2 linked regions of the Tamandua tetradactyla genome follow. The protein of the gene in region 2 purifies or fractionates together with the protein of the main gene of each other region. This does not show direct contact. Links are inferred from orthologs where the notes say so. Each region holds a gene or a part of one and is shown on either strand. Other genes may lie near its edges.

Region 1 (11,544 bases), on a different chromosome or scaffold from region 2:
TGGAGGAGAAGGGGTGCTGACCCTGTGCCTGGACAAGGGGATGGCAAGAAGCAGGTGTCTGCTCTCTGTGCTCCTCCAGCAGGCTCAAGGGACTCTAGGTTGTGGGTGCAGTTGGCTGAGCTGAGGGGCGACTCCTGAGTCTCCAAGTTAGACGGAGCTTCTCAGGCCAGCTTGGGGAGACTAAGGCTAGGAGGATTTAGGACTCTGGCCCCTGAGCCCAGAAGATACCAGGTTGTGCAGCGGAAGACTGACCAATAGCTGAGCAAGGGAGGAAGCCCTTAGGATTCCCTTTTGGGATCTGGCTAAAAGTTCTGGGAGGCACGTGAAGGTCTCAGGGAACCCAAGAAGAGAGAAGTAGGCTAGGCTGGTAATGTAACTTCCCTCTGCCCAGCTGCTGAGCAGAGACCCCAGGCCTCTGGGCTCAGGCAGGCTTGGGGCCCTGATGAGAGACTGAGCAGAAGTGGGGTTCCTGAAGCAGTACCAGTTGATCCTATCTGTCCTGATTGTGGTGGCCCCAGAGCTCTGGGAAGGCGAGACAGTGCAGCAGTTCCCCAGACGTGGGACTGGGTGGGTGTGCCACCACTGCATACCCTAGGGGCACTGCTCCAACAGCGGGAAGTTGGGCTGCCTACAGGACCAGTCCAGAAGCCCCGGACTGCCTTGAGCAGCCACAGCCACCTCTTCAGGCCCACAGGGCTGTGGCCTGCCCACCCACTGCCCCCCACCCAGGGTGGCTGTACCCCGAGGTACCCACTCAGGGCAAGCAGGATCCTGATCCAGTCATTCAGTGGGCCACAGAAGCATCCAGAAGACCTGGAGGGTGTCACAGGTCTTCAAAAGGGCTAACTCCAATTCCAGTTCAGTCTAGGAACTGAATACCCAAATGGAAAAATATTTACAACAGAGGGAGTTGAATGCAGGGAATTGGTTACCCAGGTGGCAGAAGAGCTGAGAAGCCATGCATGGTCATGAGGCAACCGCAGGAAGCTGCCACCACCTCGGGCTGGGGTCTGCAACTAAGGCAGTTGCCAATGCTGAGGGGCTGGGGGAGGGTGCTGTGTCCCCCAAAAACAGATGTTGAAGTCTTACTCCCCAGGACCTGAGAAGGTGGGCTCTTCTGGAAATAGGGTCCTTACAGATGGAATTAGGCAAGTTAAAATAAAGTCATACTAGATGAGGCTGGGCCCTTAATCCAACATAGTTGGAGTCCTTCCAGGAAGGAGAAGAGACAGAGAAGACAGAGAAGAGATGCCATGCGAAGATGCATGCAAGAAAGAAGGCTGTGGTGAGATGGAGGCAGAGACTGGAGTGGTGTGCCACAGGGAAGGACCTCCTGGAGCCCATGGCAGCCAGAGAAATGCCTGGAACGGATTCTGCCCCAGAGCCTTTGGAGTGAGCACAGCCCTGCTCAACCTGATGTCAGACTTGTGGCCTTCAGAACTGTGAGACAACATATTTCTGCTGTTTTGAATCACCCAGATGGTGGTACTTTTGTCAAGCAGCCCTGGGAAACTAAGCGGGGGTTTAACCTGTCATCTCCCTTTCTCCTCCTGAGTTCTGGTTCTCCCACTGGGCAAACCCAGCCAATACCCAGCTAACACAGGGCAAGACCCCTGCAAGGCAGCAGAACACGGGAAGGGAAGGCAACGGATGGAAGGCAGGCAGGTCCATCACGGGGACCACCTACCAATAACCTTCCATGCAGTGGCCCCCAGCTCATATCCCACCACTGCTCAGCCTCTCCTCAGGGCCCCAAGCCTGCCTGAGCCCAGAGGCCTGGGGTGTCTGCTCAGGAGTTAGAAGATGGGCAGAGGGAAGTTCCCTTTACCAGCCCAGCTTCTCTCTTCTTGGGTTCCCTGAGACCTTCACATGCCGCCCAGAACTTTCAGCCAGATCCCAAAAGGGAATCCTAAGCTCTTCCTCCCTTGCTTGGCCTGTCAGCCGATCTTTCCCTGCACGCAGGGTTGAGGCAACCCAGTGCCTCCTGGGCTCAGGAGCCAAGTCCTAGATCTCCCTAGTCTTAGTCTCCCTAAAGCTGGCCTGAGAAGGCAGCACTTGAAAAGGCGTCTATCACACTGGAAAATGCCATTTGACCCAGTTGTTCTACTTTTAAGTATTCTGCAGAGCTATTTGTAAATGTGCAAAATAAAGCACATAAGAAGGGAATTTACTACAGCAGCCTGTAATAGCAAAACATAGGAAATTACACTAACTGTTCAGCAGTGGGATCTGGTTAAATAAATTATGATCCTTTTACATAAGGGGCAGTCTGTAGCTATCAAAAAGAATGACACAGCTCTATTTGCCCTGATGTGGAATGAGTTACAAGACAATCTATTTTTTTTTTAAAAAAGAAAGTTCAGAAAGAATGGCACATACAGTATGACAACATTTGTATTAAATATAATAACTATACCTAGCTGCTTGCACATGCATTGCCTGAATCTGGAAGGACAAACAAGAAATTCCAGTGGTCACTGCCTCTGGAACCAGGCAGCAAGAGATGGAGGGGAGCAAGGCAGTTTTACTGTTTTTTTTTTGGATCTCTTGAATTTTGTGCCACGTGCCTGGTTTATAATTCAAAAAAACAAATAATTCATTTTTTGAAACTGAAAAAGAAGCATCTGTACTACAAACCGCTGCTCTCCCCTCACCCCCCACCCCATCCCACACCTGTTCTGTGGCCTGGTTAGTTACAGATTGCGGATGGAGGAGAACACTTGGACTCTGGTGGGCACGCAAATAAGCAGGAAGCAGTCTTACTTAAATTCCTGGGAATGTGGGTAGCCACCTGTGGTTTCCCCTTCAGGATTTCATATTTAAAGCCCTTGGGGATGTGGATCTAATTCTTCTTTGCCTTATCCTTACTTACTTTTTAGGCAGACTTGGGAAAGGACACAAAAGTTATTGCTATCATTTAAAGGATGAAAAAATCCAAGCCCAAGAACATGCAGCAAAGAGGCAGTATTTCACGCTTGCCCACCCATCATAACATGCCATGGCAGCTTCAGATATTCCACTTTCCATCATCCAAGGCATTTGGATCTCTCCAGGGAGACCCACCCAAGGTAGTATCTGGCTCAGAGCAGTAATCTGTTCTTCCCTAGCCTGCTATAGGCAATTTACTTTATCTGGTGTTTATGTTTCCTTTAATTCAATCCTTTGGAGGTTAAGAACTCGTTCTGTTCCTCTTTCCTGGACCTCTCTGCTCAGGAGGTTCCCATCCAACCTTCCCTCCCTTTCCTCTTAAAAGGCAGCATCTTTTTCTTCCAGAAGAGACCAGCAAACGAGAATGGCTTTGATTCTCATCGCCAAACTCTATCCACTCAGGAATTATTTACTAAGCACTTGCTCTGCACCAGGTAACCTTCTCAACAGTAAGTCCAGCCCCCCAGAAAACTACATTCCAGGGTACACTTCCGCCCGTGTCTGCTGTTACCTTTATTCTCAGATTGATCTGGACCAGGAGGTACCCTGTGTAGTTCTAGAATCTGCCCTTGCTGAATCTCATGCCCTCTGTTTTCTCCTCTGACCCTCTGTCTCTTGACTGGCTCCTTCCTCCTAGGCTGTTAGAGAGCCGGACAGAGCAAATGCCCTGTCCCAGGAGCCACGAAACACCTACACCCAGGGTCTCCACTTCCCATCCATCCCTGTCCAAATTACCATGACTCTGAACTCCACATCCAGAAGGCACTCTTTAGGACTTACCTTATTTAACCTTCTTGTCACACTGGACATTATTCCTTCTTTCTTTTCCTGGATACTCTTCTCCTTGGCTTCCAAGATGCCCCTCTTCTCTAGCTTGGCTCCTGCCTTTGGGCCTTCCTCTCCCACCCCCATTGGGCCTGGGTCTGCCCAGCTTTGCCTCTTCCCACTCAGGCTGCTATTCTGGACAAGATCCTCGGCCATTCTGTGTCTAACCCCATGATGGCTACCACCCCAGGGATGACTCCTCAGTCTGCAAGTCATGGCTGCCTTTTTCTTACACTTGGCCTTGCAGAACCAATCGCCCATGGCCCCTCCCCACCTGAATATTCCTCGCACACCTCAAACTCAACAGGCCCAACCCTGAATTCATCAGCTTTCCCCAAACCCACAGCCATGCCTGTATTGTCCCATTTACCATACACAAACAACAGAAAATAGAAATGTTATCTTTCTCTTTAGTCAAGTCACCAAGTTTGAAAATAATAATAACGGTTCATATTTATTGAGGGCCCTCAAAAACACACATGTATTATCTCAATCCTCATAACAACCCAGGAGGCAGATACTATTATTACCTAGAGGTGACAGGGTAGGGGCTCGATTGAATCCCTAGCTCCTTCACTTACTGTGTGACTCTGGACAAGTTATTTTACCTCTCTGTGCCAGCTTCGCTTCTGTAAAACAGAGATAACTTTTTAGTAAGGTTGTTTTGAATATTAAACGAGTTGATATATACAGCAGGAGAACAGTGGCTAACACTTAGTATGATAAAACTATTAGGTATGACTATTTTCTCCATCCCAGATGCCAAAGTAACACACTTTAACACTAAGCTATAACGGCTCCGTCTGCTGCTTATTTTACTTAAAAACCGCATGCATTTATTTAACAAATAATTTCCAACACTACTGTGCTAGGAATACAGCAGAGAATAAAGCCTATGTTTCACGGAGGGGGAGAGACGACAGACAAAAACTGGCCCTAGCTCCCTGCCCTGCCCCGTCCTGTGCAGGGAATCCAGGGAGAGCTGTGGGCTTCCTATACACTTTATCTCAAGAGTGTGCCAGCAAGAATGGCAAAAATAACTTGACTGCTCCCAAGAATCCCGATGGGCCCTTGTCAGAATACAAAATTTTGGGCCCCAACCCAGACGTCTTTAAGTAAAATCTCCAGGGGACGTTTTCACCATCACTTCAGTTTGGAAAATGGCACAGGTATCCTGGCTTTGTATGAACACTTTGGTACCATATGCCCAGATATATTCTAGGCGAGCTCTAAACTGAAGAAGTGCCGTGGTTTGTTCTATTAGGCAGCAATTATAAATTAAGTTCCACCCGCAAGGCAACCCACCCGAATAGGTGGCAAAATCACAATGTAAAGACAATCTTCTGCGCCTCCTCCATGGAGGGTACATCTCCTTCGGCTCTTCTGACCTGCTCCTGGGCCACCTTGCGTCAGGCCTCGCAGCCTTCACATTTTAATGGGTGCTTTAACCCCCAGTTAACAAAGAGGGACCTTGCTAGGCCGTCAAAGGCCCGGCCCCGCGGTCTGCCTGCCCAAGAGCCTCCTCTCCCGACCCCACAGCTATAAAACTGAGAGGGCCAGAAAGCTCTCTCTCTGAGCTTGGGGAAGATACCTACGCACCGGGTTACCGTGAAATTAAATGCGATTTCTGTGCCGTGCTCGGCAGCGCCTGAACCTGAGTTCCTCCAAACATAACGCATTGTCTCCATTAACATGTTTGAGGAGGCAGCCGCGGGCACGTGGCCCGGAGGGGAATCACCTGTGGCCAGGGGCACGTTTCTGGCCCCTAGTCCCTCGTACGGCGCGGGATGGGGTGGGACAGTGCGAACCAGGTGGACCCTCAACTTCCGGTGGGCTCGGGCTCATCAGTAGAAATATGGTCACACTCCTCTCTCAGCGGGCAGCGCAAGCCGGGCCCGCGCCATGAGGACCAGGCCGCATTCGCGAGCCCGGGACCACTCGTCTCCAGCGCCACTGGTCCGGGGCACACCAGGCGCCAAAAATGCCCGTCAGACGGCGCAGGCGCCGCGAGTTCTGGCAACGCAGGGTCTGCGGGACCCGCGCTCCACGGCCCAATCAGCGCTGGCCAAGCACAAAGCGAGTCCCGTCCCCAGGACGCCGCCGCCGAGCCCCTCCCCCTCCCCCGGCCGCCCGCGCCCTGCCCACTCCCGCCCGCGCCCCGCCCCGCGCCGCGCTCGGGTACTGGCTCGCGATTGGTCCGTGGGGAGGACGCGAGCTCTGGTTGGTCAAGGCACAGTCACGAGGACGCCGTCGTCGCCTTTCCAGAGGCGATTACTGGGCAGGCTCAGTCTTTCGCCTTAGTCTCGAGCTCTAGCTTGCAGCCAAGGGCCGCGCTCCGGCATCTTCAGTAGCTGCGGCCGCCATCGACGTCGCTTGGGTTTCTCAGGGCTCACCTGCGCCACTCTTTCGCCTCACACTCCGCCGTTATAATTCGCCATCATGGTGAAGCTCGCGAAGGTAAGAGGCCTTGCCTGTGCAAGGACAGACGTCGAGGCCTGTTTCCCAAGGAGCGCGCGCGCGGCGCCGCGAGGAAGGCCTGTGCGCCGTCCCGGGCGCGTTCGAGTTCCGCCATGCTGAGGGAAGTCTCGCGCGATTAGCGGGAGGTCTCGTGGTTTGGGACTACATGGCGGCGAAGTGAAGAGTATCGGCAGGTGCGCGCGGTGGCGAAGGCGGCGGTGTAGGACTGCGGGAATGAGCGCGGGGCGCGGGGCCGCGGGGCCGCGGGGCGGAGGGATGAGGCCGAACTCCTGCGACGCGCGCGAGGTGGGCCCCGCCTCCTGACGCACGTGCCCGGGTTACGCGCGCGGCCCGCCACGTGGGCCTCAGCGCGTGGATCCTGGAGTCTCCCGAAGGCACTTGGTCCTGGGGTCTCCCGAAGGCACTTGGTCCTGGGACCGACACAGGCGGGATTGAGTTTAGCCGGTGGCCTTAGGCCCCACTGCCCCCTTTTCAAGACGGGCGGACACGTGGTGGGCTACGGAAGGAGACCCTCAGTCAGTGCTTTCTGCGCGCACATGGTGGCTTGTGAGGTACCCCACATGGCTGCTCCAGGTCTGGAATGGGTAGGGTTGTGTTTTTCCCCTTGGAAAGGGAAATTTGATGAGCAGTCAAAATATAGTTACATTAGAGGGCGATGAGAAAAGGTTACTTTAAAAATTCTCGTTCATAATTTGAACCCAGGTGAGGATGGCGGAAGAAAGTGCCAAGATTTACTAAAGGCTTTTTGGATATTTTCACTAGGGTGAAGAGCGATGAATTGTTAGTTGTAAAATGGTCCAGTTGCAAGTCACTGTGTGTTTAAAAGTGCTGTATAGGCAGTGTCATAATTCAAGCTAGAAGTAATGTTTTTAAAACGGCGATGTAGTTGAAGAAGGCAGTAGTAAAAAAGATGCTTTACTGAAGTTGCTTTTTTAGTCACTGGGGGTTATCTACTTGTAAATCTGACAGAAAAAAATGGGTGGGAGATTTAGGATCCTGTTGTACGTCTGTGGTAGTTTTTAGGTTAATTGTGGCATTTAACTGAAAAGTAGAGTCTAAAGAAGAAGAAAGGAGATAACTGCATTTTATTATGAAGAATAAGAGGGGCATGAAATGGCAAAGGAGATGTAATGTGCTAATTGTGTCCATTTCAGGCCGGTAAAAATCAAGGTGACCCCAAGAAAATGGCTCCTCCCCCAAAGGAGGTAGAAGAAGATAGTGATGATGAGGAAATGTCAGAAGATGAAGAAGAGGATAGCAGTGGAGAAGAGGTAATTAAATACAACTTAATGAACTGTAATGGCTGTGTGTCTCAGAAGCTCTTCATTGACATTTGAAGATAACATTTGGGTAGTTATGAGTTTGAGAACCAAAAGAAGACCTGGAGGCTTACATAACACCTTTCTATCGGCCTATGCTGCTGTTGTGTTAAAGGATTCCATTTTTACATTTTTTTGGTTTCATTATATTAGCCCTACATGCTAGAAGAGGAAACTGGGCAATTCAAGTGACAGCTGAGTATACAGGTTTTAAGGACCCCGTGTTTCAGTCTTACTGTTTTCCCCTCTGGTCTCCAAGTAGGATTAATTTTGTCTATATTCTGTTGTGTATAAGTTTTATAACACTAATTATATAGGGCAGTTATCTCTAGTTTGGATTGAGGCCTGCCACCTCCCCTGTCTACTGTTTCATTACTAAGGACAACTGATTAATGTGCCTTTTGCTCAGATTCCCTTTTTAGAATTTATAAAGGCTTTACTCTTCCACTGTCAATAGGTAAGACTAGTAGTCTACAAAAAGTAGCTTTAGTTCACTGTGAACAAACTTAATCTACTAAGTGTTGATAAATGACTTTATTAATGTGTGCTCCATAATTTGTTACCGTTTTGCCAGGGTTCACTTTTTAATCTTTGGTCATGAGTAATTGACTTTTTAAAGAGTGCTCTACCCATTACAGGAGCCCCAAATAATGTAGTAAAAGGTAACACTAAAATTTTTTTTATGTGCAAAACGTTTAAGTAGTTTACATATATCAACTCACTAAATGCTTAAAACAAAATGAAAAGTTGGTACTATTTTCGGATAGGGAAAGTTGAGGCTGAGAATACTTGGAAAATCTGCTCAAAGCTACAAGTCATTTTAAAAAATGTGACCCAGGAACTGAAGTCTGGTTTCTTGCCTTTTAAGTGTTGAGGAGGTGCTTATAGTTGGGTATTTTACCTTAATGCAAAAACGAGTGCTGTAACTTTACAGTACATTGAGGGGCATGTAATATGTGTGACCCTAGACTTTAGAATGGCCTTAATGTGTGTAGTCTTTATTTTTGGCACGGGCAGACTCTGGGAATCGAACCTGGGTCTCTGGCATGGCAGGCAAGAATTCTGCCACTAAGCCACGATTGCACCACCCTGCGTGTAGTCTTGAATCAGATGAGCCAGTAATTGGTACTCATTTGTGGGACCACGGCTGCCTTTTTATTTTCCAGGTTGTCATTCCTCAGAAAAAAGGCAAGAAGGCCATTGCACCTCCGGCAAAGAAAGTGGTGGTTTCCCCAACAAAAAAGGTTGCAGTTGCCACACCTGCCAAGAAAGCAGCTGTCACTCCTGGCAAAAAAGCAGCCGCCATACCAGCCAAGAAGACAGCTACACCAGCCAAAGCAGTAGCAACATCTGGCAAGAAGGGGACCACACCTGGCAAAGCAGTGGTAGTGGCATCCACTGGTAAGAAGGGAGCTGTGGCCCCAGCCAAGGGGGCAAAGAATGGTAAGAATGCCAAGAAGGATGACAGTGATGAGGAAGATGATGAAGACAGCGAGGAAGAGGATGAGGATGATGATGAAGATGAATTTGAGCCAGCAGTGATGAAAGCAGCAGCCACTGCTTCTGCCTCAGAGGATGAGGATGATGATGAGGATGAAGATGATGAAGACGATGATGATGATGATGATGATGATGATGAAGACGATGGTAAGGAGTTCTCTTGGTAGTTTCTAGGCTTCTGGTTTGCAAGGTACCTTAGAGGTGAGGTTATAGAAACAGTTCTACATACTCCTTCTAGCAACTCAGAGGTCATCTCTGGGCTGGCACCGACATTTAATTTACCCATGGAAAGTTTGCCCCATGCTGATGTGCCTAAAGCACGCTCTGGGAGGATTCTCTATTGTGTAGGATTTCGTTTGCAAGAGACCTTGAAATACTTGCTGCTGAAGCATGGTGGCATTTCTTTTAGATTTTTCTATTGTTGGTTTCTCCTGTTTCTGAGTATGCTTGACTCTCTTTTAGACTCTGAAGAAGAAGCTATGGATACTACCCCAGCCAAAGGGAAGAAAGCTCCTGTAAAAGCTGTTCCTGTGAAGACCAAGAGTATGGCTGAAGATGAAGAGGATGAAGAGGAGGAGGAAGAAGATGATGACGATGAGGAAGATGATGATGAGGACGATGATGAGGATGACGACGAAGAGGAGGAGGAGGAGGAAGAAGAGGAAGGTAATCAAATTAGTTTTTGAAGTACTCTGACCTGAATTTTGTTTAAAGAAAGATACTTGAGAATGTGTGGGTACTCGTTGATGACATAGGTTGTTTGAAATCTTGTTCAGAGCCTATCAAAGAAGCATCTGGAAAACGAAAGAAGGAAATGTCCAAGCAGAAGACTGCTCCTGAAGCCAAGAAACAGAAAGTAGAAGGTAATTTGAGAATTTGGGGAGGAGGGTTATGGGGAAGAAAGTCTGGTTACACAAATGATGAATGACAAAGGGACTTAATACTGAGACCTGATGTCACGTTGTAATATGCTGATGTGCTGTGTGTAGGAACTGTAGTGGAAATTAACTTTGCACTGTTGACTAATTTAAGCTCTGTTTTTGTATAGCATTAGAAACTACAGCTTTCAATCTTTTTGTTGGAAACCTGAACTTCAACAAATCTGCCCCTGAATTGAAAACAGGGATCAGTGACCTTTTTGCTAAAAATGATCTTGCTGTTGTGGACGTCAGAATTGGTGTGTCTAGGTAAGTAATGTTGACATGATTTGGGGGTGGGTTGGGGGGAGGTTTAGACAACAGTATTTCCTTGTATATTACATTTGGGCCTACTAATGGCTTTTTTTCCCTCTACCTACTAGCTACAGATAGTTCAGACTTTATCATGGTATAAATTATTTGTGTCCCATGTACAGAATTTCAGAATTGAAATTTCTTGTGATGTAGCTTAACTTGGTGTAGTGCAAAATTTCTTAAGTAATTTGATGCCTATATTCCTGGAAATGATTGAAAACCAGTAGACCCAAGTAGCTATAGGATTTTCTCATTTTAGCTCAAGCAGTACCTTTGTCACAATTTGAAGATTGTTACGAGCAGCATAGGTGAGCTTGCATCAACTCTTGGTACTTAGACCTTGCTCTGTAGCCACAATGTACACAGTCCAAAGCCTTGGATTTTATTGTGTTAATTCTGTAGGTGCTTTTTAACTTAATATGTTTGTGCTATTACATCAGTGGTGTTGGTTTGTCAAAATTGTGTATTGTGCAAACTTTTTTCACCTGTAACCTTCCCCCCCTCCTTTGCTTTAAAGGAAGTTTGGCTATGTGGATTTTGAATCTGCTGAAGACCTGGAAAAAGCATTGGAGCTCACAGGTTCAAAAGTGTTTGGTAGTGAAATTAAATTAGAGAAACCAAAGGGAAAAGACAGTAAGAAAGGTATGTAAGGGTTTAGGTGATATCGAAACTGATGGGTAACATGCTCCATAGGTAGATGTACAGTTAGGGAGTAGTATGAGGTGTGGCGATTAAGAGCAGGGTTTAGGAGCTAGATTGCAAGTGATTGAACCCCTTTCTCTTGGTTTCCCTGTAGTGTCATAAGGATGAAGTGAGTTAGAATATGTTAGTACTTGGCACTGCACTATTTGCTTGTGTTAAAACACATTTTGTGGGTATGTTCAGAGAGAAATGCTTAGATGTTCTGTGAATATATTGTTAAATTAAGTAACTTTGTAGCATATGCTTGGTTCACAGTCCAGAGCCACCTGGGCTTATAGTCATTATCATGATCTTGAATGTTCTTTTCTGTTATTTTCTGGCCTATAACAGAGACTTTTTTTTTTTATAGGATTGGATTTAGGTTAGGTCCAGTTAACTTTATATCCTTTTTCTCTAGAAAACATGTCATTTTAAATTGTGTGTCCATGGCCTTTTTGTGCGAAATGATTGGGCTCTTATTCTGGGTTGAACTCTCTCCAGTGTAGTTGGAGGGCAGTTGTCATGGTGCTCTGTGTTCAGCATAGTGCCTTGCACATACAGGATCTCATATTTGTTGAATG
Region 2 (11,136 bases):
TCGAAAAACAAATAACTCTGAGCTCCATTACGTCATTTATACATTTAAAGGGCATTATCTCTGCCTGAGGCTAGAAATGAACATCTACGCATAAGAAGAAAAACTGGATTCCAATCCCAACAGCCAGACAACTGCAGAAAACCCATGTGCTCTTAACAGGGGGTGCTGAAACCCAGGAGAGGTAAGGGACATATCTAATAGATCCAAGTACAAAACTTACTGACTGTAACGTAGTGATAAACACATTCCACCTTGAAATAGTTAATCCCTCCAACACATGAACTAGATCAAACAGCTAAAAATCTCTAAACTCAAAATACCATGAGCCCAATAACCTAAGGGGCCAAGTCATAAAACTCAATGCCCTGTGCAGGTTTAGAGGACAGGTCGGTTTCCTCAAATATAGGTCTTCTTTTCAGAATTCAGTTAAACAAGGCTACCAAACTTGAAAGCAACAATCAGCCATTACAAGGAATTCAATCAATTTCTCCAAACAGTTCTATACTGGTTTTGAAACAAGTACAAGATTCAAAGCTCATATAACAAAATTCACAGTGGAAGTATTTAGATGTTATAATATGCCGGCACAGGTTAAGTGCAGACATTTTGACTCAGTTAACACTGATCAACCAGAAAAAAAAGGATTGGATATATGTGTGTAATAACTGTTCATTTTTTATTGTGAAATATATATATATATATATATATATATACACACACAAAGAAAAAAACGCAAGAATTTTCAAAAAGTAGTTACAGAACAGATTTCAGAGTTTGTTATGGATTACCATTCCACTATTTCAGATTCCTTCTTTTAGCTGCTCCAAAACACTGGAGACTAGAAGAAATATCAATACAGTGATTCAGCAGTCATACACATTTGTTAAATTCTATTTTCTGTGTTATAACTCCTTCTCTTTTGATCCTTCTGGAAATCGTAGGTTTCAGAAAAACACAGTACATGAAACTTTTATAGAGTCTCAGTTCAAGCCCTAGGTCAAAAGGAGTGATGTCGGTTAGGGTTCAGTACACCAAAGTAACAGGCACTATCTAACTGAAGCCTGCATAAGAGTAGCCTCCAGAATAGTCTCTGGACTCTATTTGATCTCTCTGAGCCACTGATGCCTTATTACACTTCTTTTCCCTCTTTAGGTCTGGAAATGTTATTGATGCCAAGGTACTGGAGCCAAACTCATCCCCAGGAGTCACGCCCCACATTGTCAGGGAGACTTTCACCCCGGAATGTTATATTCCAAGTACTAGGGAAGGTGATGATTTTCCGTGCAGAGTTGGGCTTAGAGAGAGAAAGGTCACATCTGAGCCACAGAAGAGGTTTTCTGGAAGCAACTCTCAGGCCTTATTAAAAGTAGTCTTAGCTGCGTGATTGTGGAAAACCCTGTGTCTGATGCTCCTTTCATCTACCTTGTCAACAGACGAGTAGAACATATGGAATAACAATAAATAATAGGGGGAACAAATGTTAAAATAAATTTAGTTTGAAATGCTAGTGATCAATGCAAGGGAGTTAAGGGGTATGGCATATAAAATTTTTTTTTCTGTTTTTGTTTAATTTTTCTGTTGTCTTTTTATTTCTTTTTCTGAATTGATACAAATATTCTGGGAAATGATCATGATGATGAATATGCAACTATGTGATGATATTGTGAATTGCTGAGTGTATGTGTTGGGAATGTTTGTGTTACCTGTAATCTTTTTTAAATTAATAAAAAATTAAAAAAATAAAATAAATAAAAAGTAGTCTTAGTTTCTCTGCTAAAGAAATAAATTTCATAAGGCAAGCCTCAAAATCAAGGGTTTGTCCTATTTTGGTGGGAGTTTCTAATGATTGAGGGGTACCTGGGGTTCCTCAGACAGTTTAATAGTTCCATATATATATATATATATATATACACACACACACACACACAAACCCTTAAGAGACTCTACCAATACTTTTTTACTTTTTGCATGGGCAGGCACAGGGACTTGAACCCGGGTCTTTGGCATGGCAGGCGAGAACTCTGCCTGCTGAGCCACCGTGGCCTGCCCTCTACCAATACTTTTTAATTGTCAGCCCACCACAATCTGAGATGTACCCAGGTATTACATTAAACTATACAGAATCACAAGGAATCATTTCCGTTTTGGACACAGGAGTCTGGGTTGTTAAAATGAGCTGCTGAGACAAGATGGTTGAGATTGTGTTACAGAAAATTTAGGTCCTAGACATAATAAACCTGTCTGCCTTTGGGCTCATACAGGAGGTAGAAGTTTAGAATTCATACATTATCATCTTTTACCCTGTATTTGATTTACCTTAATTCCAATCAAATTGGCTTTGATTTTATCTCTAATTGATGCCTGATTTCTTTTTCAGTTACTTTTAACCATTATTGTATACAGCTATGCTTTCAGGGCTGCAGCACTCTATTTCTCCGTTTTAGGGGAACAGCTTTTTAAGTGAAACAGCAGTAAAATATTAAAATGACTCATGAAATCATGTATGTGAAGATACAATGTGAATGAGGGTGCCCTCACGATTCCCTTCTATCACTATGATTCTACAGGAAATTAAATTTTGAAACAGTATTTCTGCTGACCAAGAAGGCCTTATCTTTGACTGCTCCTTTCAAATCTTAGAATAGGGTAACACATCTTCAAAAGACAAAAGAAATTTTTTCTTCTCATCTTTAAGATGCAAGGAAGCAGATAATAAATTGAGAAAACATTTTCTAGGTTTTTTCCTCCTGCCAGCTCCACCTCAACAACTCAATTACTAGATAACTCCAGTTTTTAAACCATCTCCCTTTCCCTTATTTTCAGGTACTCATTTCATCTTTGGACTATTTCCCTATTCTATCACCACCTCCCTTCCCCCTGAAGTTCATTTTACTCTTGGATATTATTTATTCTCCTAGCAATTGATAATCCCAATCTGAAATAATCTGACTCTACTATGTATGTGCTAGTCTTCTGAAGGAGCCCTGAATTTTGAGCAGGAAACAATCAATCGCCTCAAATCCTTATAATCTATACTTCAGTTGGGCTTAGTGCAATAATGAAAACATAATTCTCCATTAAAACTCCTTTAATTTCTTCTACAAAAGCAGTCAACCTAAACAAACTCAACAACAAGAACTAAACAAAACCAGTGGATTTTCCTGTTGAGGCGGACACCGGTTCTGGAGAAAACCTGCCCAGGTTTTAATACCAACTCTGTCACCTTGGACAAGTCATTACTCTTAACCTCACAAGACCTTAGTTTCCTGATTAAATGGGACAAACAGCAGCACCTTTCTCACAGGTTACCATGAAATCAGGTAATGCATGCCAAGTCCTTAGAAAAATCCTTGGCATGTAGCAGACAATTTAACATTAGTTGTTAAAATTAGTTGCAAGGAAGACAGTAAATTAAAAATTCTTAAGTTTTAGGTCTAACAGCTTACTCTGCATACCTACATTTTTAATATGAGAGATTTCAAAGGCCTATTTTAATACAGTGTATCATTTCAAGTGCAGGAAGACAGAGCACGGATTATTAAGACAGAGAAAGTACCTGATCCAAAGTCAGAACCAATCAATGTGCCCTAAATGGATCACAGATCCTTTAAGCAGGTGAAGAGAACAGACCCCCTGCACCTTTACCCCCGTGGGTAATGTGACACAGTATTTGAGGTCCAAAGCTTTTCAATGCTGGCATCAGAATTCTGGATACTGAAGACGAGCTGCATCTCCCACCTTGCATCGGGGCTGAACATAATCGCCAAGCTGAAATTCGTGAAAGATTCAAGTCCTATCACCACCAGGCAATCCTTTGCCGAGACAAACAAAAAGTATTCAGAAAAGGAGGGAGCAGTTAAAAAACATGCGGCTTAACTGACTGCCAGGTAAAACATACAAATGAGTAGCGATTTAAGGCCCTCTCGGAAGATGAAAGCATATCTCCCTGAAAAGGAAGAAATGCCTGTAACGTTCCAAGCATGACATGGGGGGAAGCATTATTTTCCTTTTCTACAGCATTTTAAATGGTAAAACAGACCTGATGCCTACCTTGACTGGGTAACTCAGGTCCGACCCAGTTTACTCAGTGCACTAGTTAGCGTGAGATGCCGCAGACCAAGTCCCCTGTGCAGGAGGGCACATACTTGCTGGCGTCTCGCTCTGGCTATCGAGCTCCCAACAACAGCTAAGATCAACACAAAGGTCTTTATTTCTTTGTCACGCAAGCCCTGCACCCAAGCGAATCTGCGAAATAAAACCCCATTGTTCGCCCGCCCTGAACCCACACAAGCGATCACAATCGCTCGGCGGCGAAACCCCGAGCGCGGGCGGCGGACGGTCTCGCAGCATCTTCTCCACACGAGGAACGCGGAGCCCCGAGGGAGGCTCGGCTCGGCGCTCCGCGGGCCCGGCGTGCAGGTCAGAGCACGTGAGTCCGGCCGGAGTTCGCGGGAGATTTGAGCGCACGCGGCTCGGCGGGAAAGAGCCCGCGCGGGGAGCCCCGGCCGCCGCCCTCCGCCAGCGGCGGCGAGTGCCCCTCCGCGGGGACCGCTAACCGAGCGCCGGCCCGGGCAGAGGGCGCGCCGCCGGGCCACGCCGCCCCGGGAGGCCGCCAGGAGAACAAAGCCGCCTCCTGACCTTCGGCGGCCCGGGTGGGGACGCGGGGAGGGGCCGGTCTCCCGCCCCGCGCCCGCCGGCCTCGGACCGCTGCCCGAAGGGGCGCGGGCCCCACCCCTGGCCCGGGCGCCGCCGAGCGGCCCGCCGCGGCCTTTCGAGAGGAAGCCCCGCAGCCCGCCCCGGCCCCGCGGACGCCACCCCGAGCGCCCCGCCCGCCTGCCCCGGCGCGCCGTTACCCGGCCCGAGGCCTCCGTCTCCGCACCTCACGCCTCCTGCGGCAGCGGCGGCACGGCGGATCCTCTCGCTCGGGCTGCTGCGCCGCCGTGGCCTCCAAGAACGCCGCCTCCCATTGGGTGAGCTCCGTCCGCGCCCTCCCCTGGCCCCGCCTCCCGCCAGCAAAAGGGCCTCTGATTGGGCGGGCGCGGCGCCAGGTGGCGCTCGTTAGGGGTGCGGCCGGAGACCAATCAGGGAGCGGCAGGGAAGACGCCGTAAGGAGCCGCACTCACCGCGCGCGGCCGTATGCAAATGAGGGCATGGGACGGCGCGGAGCGGGTTCGGCGCTCCTTCCGCCGCCCGGGAGGGACCCACGTGGGGGACGGCGCGGCCGAGTCCCCGGGCCTGCGCCCCTCGGGGCCCCCACCCCTGGCTCACGGCCGGCGCCGCCACCTTGCCCTCCTGCCGCCCGCCTTGCGCCGGTCTCAGACTCGGTCCCCGCTGACCGCCCGCAGCCACCCCCAGCGCCGGGGCCGTCCCCTCCGTCAGCCCCCTCCTCCGGTCCCGGGTCCTCAAGCCTTGGAGCCTCGCACGTGCGGTCCCCTCCACCCAGCCCTTCCGCATCCCGTCCTTGGGGTGACGCTTCTCTGCAGTTACTCCTTCAGGCCCCGGATCGGGCGACGCTTCCTTTTTGAGCCGCTCTGCGCTCAGCACCTAGGGCACAGCAGAACGGGGTGGGGGCGCTCCGGCCCCGAGGGCGCCCTGACGCGGCCGCGGAGCTGGGGGGACGACGTGGGGGGCCTTCCTCGCCCGCCCGGTCCGGCCCTCCTTCGGTGCCGCCTGCCCGCAGCTGGGTTGCGGAGTGGCGATCTGGGACTCGCCGGGACCCAGCCAGCGCGCCAGCCTGCCTGCATCGCGGAAATCTGAAAAACTTTGAGCCAAAGGCAGCTTGGGCGAGATGACAATGTGGTTGGAAAATCATTGCCTCCAGGCCCCCACTTTTTGAGGGTGGCTAATCTCGTCTCCAGTAAGGGTTGTGGGTCTTTTGTCTTTGTCCATTATTTTCAGAAATGTTGTCTTGGGGTAGGGCTCCCTTTGAAACAACTTCCAACTTTTTTGGCGTTTTATAAGAGGGGATTTTGGAAGCATCCTAAGGCTCATGGTGGGAGTTCGTTAAAGACATCACAGTAGGTGGAAAACCTCCAGTGATCAGCATGTCCAGTGGCCTGACCCTGTCCCGAGTGGGTGGGGTGGGGGAGGGGACTCTTGATTCCTATTTGCCTTCTTTGGATTTTCTGATTTGCTTTTGGGGAAAGGGAGGAGAGCATAAGCAACAGAAGAAACTGAAAGAGAAGAATTAGCATTTTCTGGTCTGAGGTTCTTTCCTCTTTAATAAAGATTCAGATCCTCTTGAAGCCCTACCTGAAGCTGGGGAGCGGGTGATGCCTGTAGAACCTGTGGGTGGTATCCAGGCAGCTCAAGCCCCCCGGGGTTTCCGTGGTCCCCGTGGAAGAGGACGGAGGCCAAGTACCCTGGGTGGCCTTTCCCCAGGGTCGCCCCAGCAATTAGTGGGAAGGTGGGTGCTATGGATGGACGTGTGTCCCCCAGAAGACGTGGTCAAGACCCAACCTCCGGACCTGTAAACGTGAACTCGTTTGTGAATAGGATCTTTGAAGATGTTGTTAGGGTGAGGTCAGACAGAATCGGGTCGGGGGCAGCCCACACTGACAACCATCGCAGAGACGGCCACGTGATGGAGGTGGAGGCTCACTTACATCACGGAGTAGCCAGCAAGCCACAGCCAGAACCTGCAGAGCTCAGAGGGAGTGCAGCCATGCAGGCACCTTGATGTACTCCAGACCTTCAGAACGAGGAGAGTACCCTTCTGTTGGTTAAAGCCAACTAATCAGTGGCGCTTTGTTGCCACATCCCGTGGGCAACACCCACCAAAGCTCTCCATGGGTGACGGTGCAGCAGGGCACAGGAATAAAAGGGCTGTGTGTGCCTCCCCCCATCCAGCCCCCTGGCACACCCCCCCCCCCCCCATCAGCAAGGCTTCCAGGTGGAAAGGAGATAGGGGCGGGTTCCTGTGAACCAGAGCAGTAGGCCACCAGGGTCAGGGTGGGTGTATGCTTGGAGCAGAGGCCATGGTAGCTGCAGAGGCCAGGCAGCAAGCGGCACAAAGCTTCCTGGGATCTACAGATAGCCAGGGGGGCTGACATCGCTAAAGACAGCCCTTTGGGGGTAGCCCTGACGGGAGGTGAGCAAGAGCAAGAGCCACAGAGCGGGCATTTGCATGACGGCGATTCCCAAGGGCTGAGGGGCTGGGTTGGGTAGGGCAGGCAAGCCTCAGTGTCCTCGTCTGCAGTGGGAGCAGTGGGTTCAGGGACACCAAGGACCCCATCCCAAGGCCTCTGTCCAGATGCTGTGTCTTTGCAGCTAGCTGGACAGACCTCAGCATAAAAGGGAAGGAGGAGCCCATGCAGCTGACCTGTAGGATGTCCCAGTCATGTCTATTCTGAAATGGGGGGACACTACTCCTCACCGCCTGCACTGAGACAGTATTTCCTGTCCTCCATGGCAGTCTTGAGTGGGTTTATTTACATAAAGCATCAGGGCAGAGCAAATGGGTTTTCAGTTGATGAGGGGAAAGTTATGAGGCTGGCCGTCTACCCCAAAGAACTGAAGACAGGTGTGCAGACAGGGCCCCAGCATCACCCCGAGGAGGAAGCAGCCACGTGTGCTGACATGAATGGACAGAGCGGGGCCCATCCGTATGGTGGAATATTGTGTGGCCCTTGCTGTCCTGAGGAGCCGGACCCTCCTGGGGTGCTTCCAGAAGTCTTCCCCATAGTGGGTGGGAGTTCAGGCATGCTGTCTGGGATGAGCTGAGAAAATGCAGAGTGGGGAGAGGATGAAGAGGGGCCAAGCAGCAGGCGCCCAGCACCCGGATGGGCGCCATGGCTGACTGGGAGTAGAGGCCACAGGGCGGGAACTGGCCTGAGTCACCTGGCGATTGGCGCCTGGCCTTCTGAGCATGCATTGTGTGCAGTGAGCTGGCATTCGCACACATCATTTCCGACTTGTGCCGTTGTGTATTTGGGTTAGGTTCCTAAAGATGGCACTGCCAGGACAAAGGATAAATGAATCCCCAGTTAGATCCTGCCAAGTTGCCCCACTGGCATGCAGCACTTTGCATGGCTTCACCTTAGCACCAGTGCCACTCTTGTCCTGATGGATTCCCATCTGGTGCTAAGGTTTTGCAGGTATGAAGCAGGTAGTGGCTTTTGTGGATGCCCTCCTCGGTGGTTCAGGGATGGCCACGCAGCTCAGGCTTAACTCCAGCGCTGACGTTGGCCTTGCAGCCAGGGACTCACCAGTGCTGACAGCAGCCCTGGGCAGCTTGCCAGGGCCTGGGCCCGCTGAGCCATCGGTTTTGGCCTCTGCCAAATGCTGAACGGCTTTAGGGGAATCTGCAGTTTGTTTATTCATTAGACTGGAGAGGCGGAGGGGCAGCCTTTGTCTGGGATGTCAGCAGGTTCTGGGAGCTGGAGCCTGTCTTTCACCCACTTAGCCACTTTCCAGTATGCGTGCGCACCAGAGATTAACTGAGAGCCATTGGCCTGGGAGTGAAATCCCCAGGGCTCAACGGGCCTGGGCACCCCAATGGGGGGCCTGCTGACCAGGCAGCACCTCCCGGGTCCAGCACTGAGCATGCAGGGTTGACGCAGAGGGAGGGCCACAGGTCTCGCTGCTTGGACAAATTTATTATGACTGTCTCAAAGCCGACGAGGACACAAAGCTATAGGAACACAATTCTTAACTTAGGACACGCAGACAACTGTAAACATGATGGACGCGTCGGGGCACGCCCGCAACCCCTACAGCTCGCCCGCAGCCGGCCGCCTTCTCTTTTCACTCCAGGCTTCCGTTCTGAACCATTTGCAGATACTCCTTGTGGAGCTTTTCCTGAGCATCAAAGAGCTTCTTGAGCTTCTTGGCCTGTCCCTTGCTGATTTCTTTGCCTTCGGTGTCATGGGTGGGTAGACCCTGCGAGGGCAAGAGTGGAGCCTGGCGTGAGCCCCCACGCCACTACCTGTGCCTCTCCTAGTGCCCAAACCTCAGGGGGCCGGGACCCAGGGGCAGAGGGTTACATCCACCTGCTCGGGCACGTAGTCCTCAGCTGGCTCCAGGCCCGGCCACTGAAAGTGGGGGAGAAGCAGCCAGGGTCAGGGGTGCCCTTCCCTCAGGGTGTTGAGGGGGCAGGGACCCCGCGGAGCCATGTGCTCTGTCCTGACACAGGAGCCCTGAGGTCCCCACTACTAGGCCTTTGCTGGGACAGGAAGGCAGGAGTGCAGACCCCTATGGGCAGTCGCGGGGCTGTGCTGACGTGGCAGTTGGGTCCAGCTTGTCAGGGACCCTGGCGACCCCTCTGCAGGAGGCCCCATCTCCAGCCTGTCTAAACCGGCTGTGGCTGTGACCTCAGCAGCCACAGCAAACTCTGCCTGGATGAGGGTGGAGGGAAGTGTGCCCACCCAAGCTGGCCCGGCTGTCAGGGCAGGTCCTTGGCCCGCCCCCCCACCCGGGACAGGAACCTCCTGGGGCGCAGACCCTTGAACAAGGCATCATGTGATCCCTTTTCCCTTACAAACACCCCACACAGAAACCTTGCTAGCTCAAGGTTGATATTTGCTGTCATCCCAATTTGACACAGCCTGACATCACCCCAAAAAGAAAAAAGTGAGTCCTTACGTTCTCATCAAACTTGGAATATTTGTCACGCTCGGACAAGAACATCTCACCGGGTGGGACCTTCATCCTCGCCAGCTTTGCTGCCTGGGACACAGGACATGTGGCTGCAGCGCATGGCTAGCGGGAGCCCCCCCCACCACATGCACCTTCCCGCCAGAAGTGCTTCCAGGCCCTCCAATTCAGAGACCACAGACAGGGAGGGGGACACGCAGGGCGGAGGGACAGTCTAAAGCCAGAGCAGGTTTTCCCCTATGGCATCAGCGGGGAGGCCGATGGAGAACCACCATGACGTGGAGCCTGCAGAGGGCAGAGCCTGGGCATGAGGGTCTCGGGGCCCAAGTGTACAGAGAGCCCCTCGGGGCAACACTCCCCACCTGGACGAGCCCACGCCTTACCTCTTGTTCCTGCTTTCTCCTGGCGGCCTCCTCCTTCTTCCTTCTCTTCTCCTCTTCAACCTGGGAAAACAGCACAATGGCTGATGCACCAGGCCTGCAGGCCAACATGGGAAGGGGGCTGGGGACATTGCCCCACAGGGTCTCCATAAGACCAGCCCCCTACCCCCACCCTGCTCTCCTCCCGGGACCCAGCACTGGGAAGGAGCTGGACCAGGCAGCACACTGAGCAGGATCGGTGCTTATCACTCAGTCCCAAGCACCCCCCAGCATGCACAGCGAGCACCTCTCCAGCTTGGACCCACAGAGCCACCCAACACATGGTTTAAGAGGTCACCCCTGCAAGCTACTCCCGACAAGTGGCCAGGTGATGAGCCAGGCCCAGGCCAAGGGCTTTTACCAGCTGGGTGGAGAACAGCAGTGCTGCAGGGCGACCCCTGAGCAGGCCAGGGGTGGCAGGGAAGGAGCAAAGGCCCTGAGACAGAAAGGGGAGGGAGGGCAGGGGCCAGTAGGCGCCAGGTGGCTAGGTGCTTGCAGGCCAGGTCAGGAGCGCATTTGACCCTAGCACGGGGTGCACAGATGTGCCATTCATGGACAAGGAGGTGAAACAGGTTTGGGGAGTTGAGAATCAAAGAGTTTCCTTCCAGACATATTAAGTTTCAGATGCTGTGGAGCCAAGCAGTGATTTCCAGTAGGCAGCCGGGTCTCAGAGTCTGGAGCATGGGCCAGAGGGAGCTTTGGGGTCACCACAGACAGAAAGATGGAGGGAGACTAGCTGGAAAACTGGAAGGGGTGGAGGTGTACGTGCTGCGGAGCTGGGAGGGAAGGGAGAGTGAGTAAGGGGCAGTGAGGCTGTGGGGGGGGGGGTAGCTAGAGGGAGACCCAGAGGTAGGGGCCAGCCAAGGGGCTCAGGAGGGTCTGAGGAACAGGGGGCAAGATAAGGCTGAGTGGGAGGGCAAGGAGGGGTGGGGAGCATGAATGCAGGAATGGGCCCTTTTCTTTTAAAGACAAGCGTGTGCACTAGCCGGAACCTTCCAGGGGAGAGTCGCACACCAAGGTGTACTGAGTGACCTACAGAGGGGGTAGCCTCGCAGGGTCAGGGGTCCCAGCCAGCCCAGCACCCCCACCCTGCATCCCATCACTGTCACACCAGCCCTGAGTG

Evidence for each region.
Region 1: the proteins of NAP1L4 (region 2) and NCL fractionate together in Homo sapiens (co-fractionation; 3 studies listed by BioGRID). This does not show direct contact. The link is inferred for Tamandua tetradactyla from reciprocal best matches to the Homo sapiens genes NAP1L4 and NCL.

The regions. Positions count from the first base shown.
Region 1 is NC_135329.1:207,464,911-207,476,454, reverse strand, and holds the start of NCL (nucleolin), read left to right. Parts: upstream 1-6,008; 5' UTR 6,009-6,192; coding exon 6,193-6,210; intron 6,211-6,365; exon of another isoform or gene 6,366-6,404; intron 6,405-7,385; coding exon 7,386-7,502; intron 7,503-8,716; coding exon 8,717-9,197; intron 9,198-9,512; coding exon 9,513-9,716; intron 9,717-9,826; coding exon 9,827-9,913; intron 9,914-9,960; exon of another isoform or gene 9,961-10,030; intron 10,031-10,098; coding exon 10,099-10,237; intron 10,238-10,799; coding exon 10,800-10,924; intron 10,925-11,544. UniProt on the Homo sapiens protein: Nucleolin is the major nucleolar protein of growing eukaryotic cells. It is found associated with intranucleolar chromatin and pre-ribosomal particles. It induces chromatin decondensation by binding to histone H1.
Region 2 is NC_135335.1:2,764,601-2,775,736, forward strand, and holds the start of NAP1L4 (nucleosome assembly protein 1-like 4), read right to left. Parts: upstream 4,983-11,136; 5' UTR 4,880-4,982; exon of another isoform or gene 4,854-4,879; intron 4,246-4,853; exon of another isoform or gene 4,040-4,245; intron 1-4,039. Other genes in the region: CARS1 (cysteine--tRNA ligase, cytoplasmic), read right to left, coding at 8,746-8,880, 9,583-9,666, 9,978-10,037. UniProt on the Homo sapiens protein: Acts as a histone chaperone in nucleosome assembly.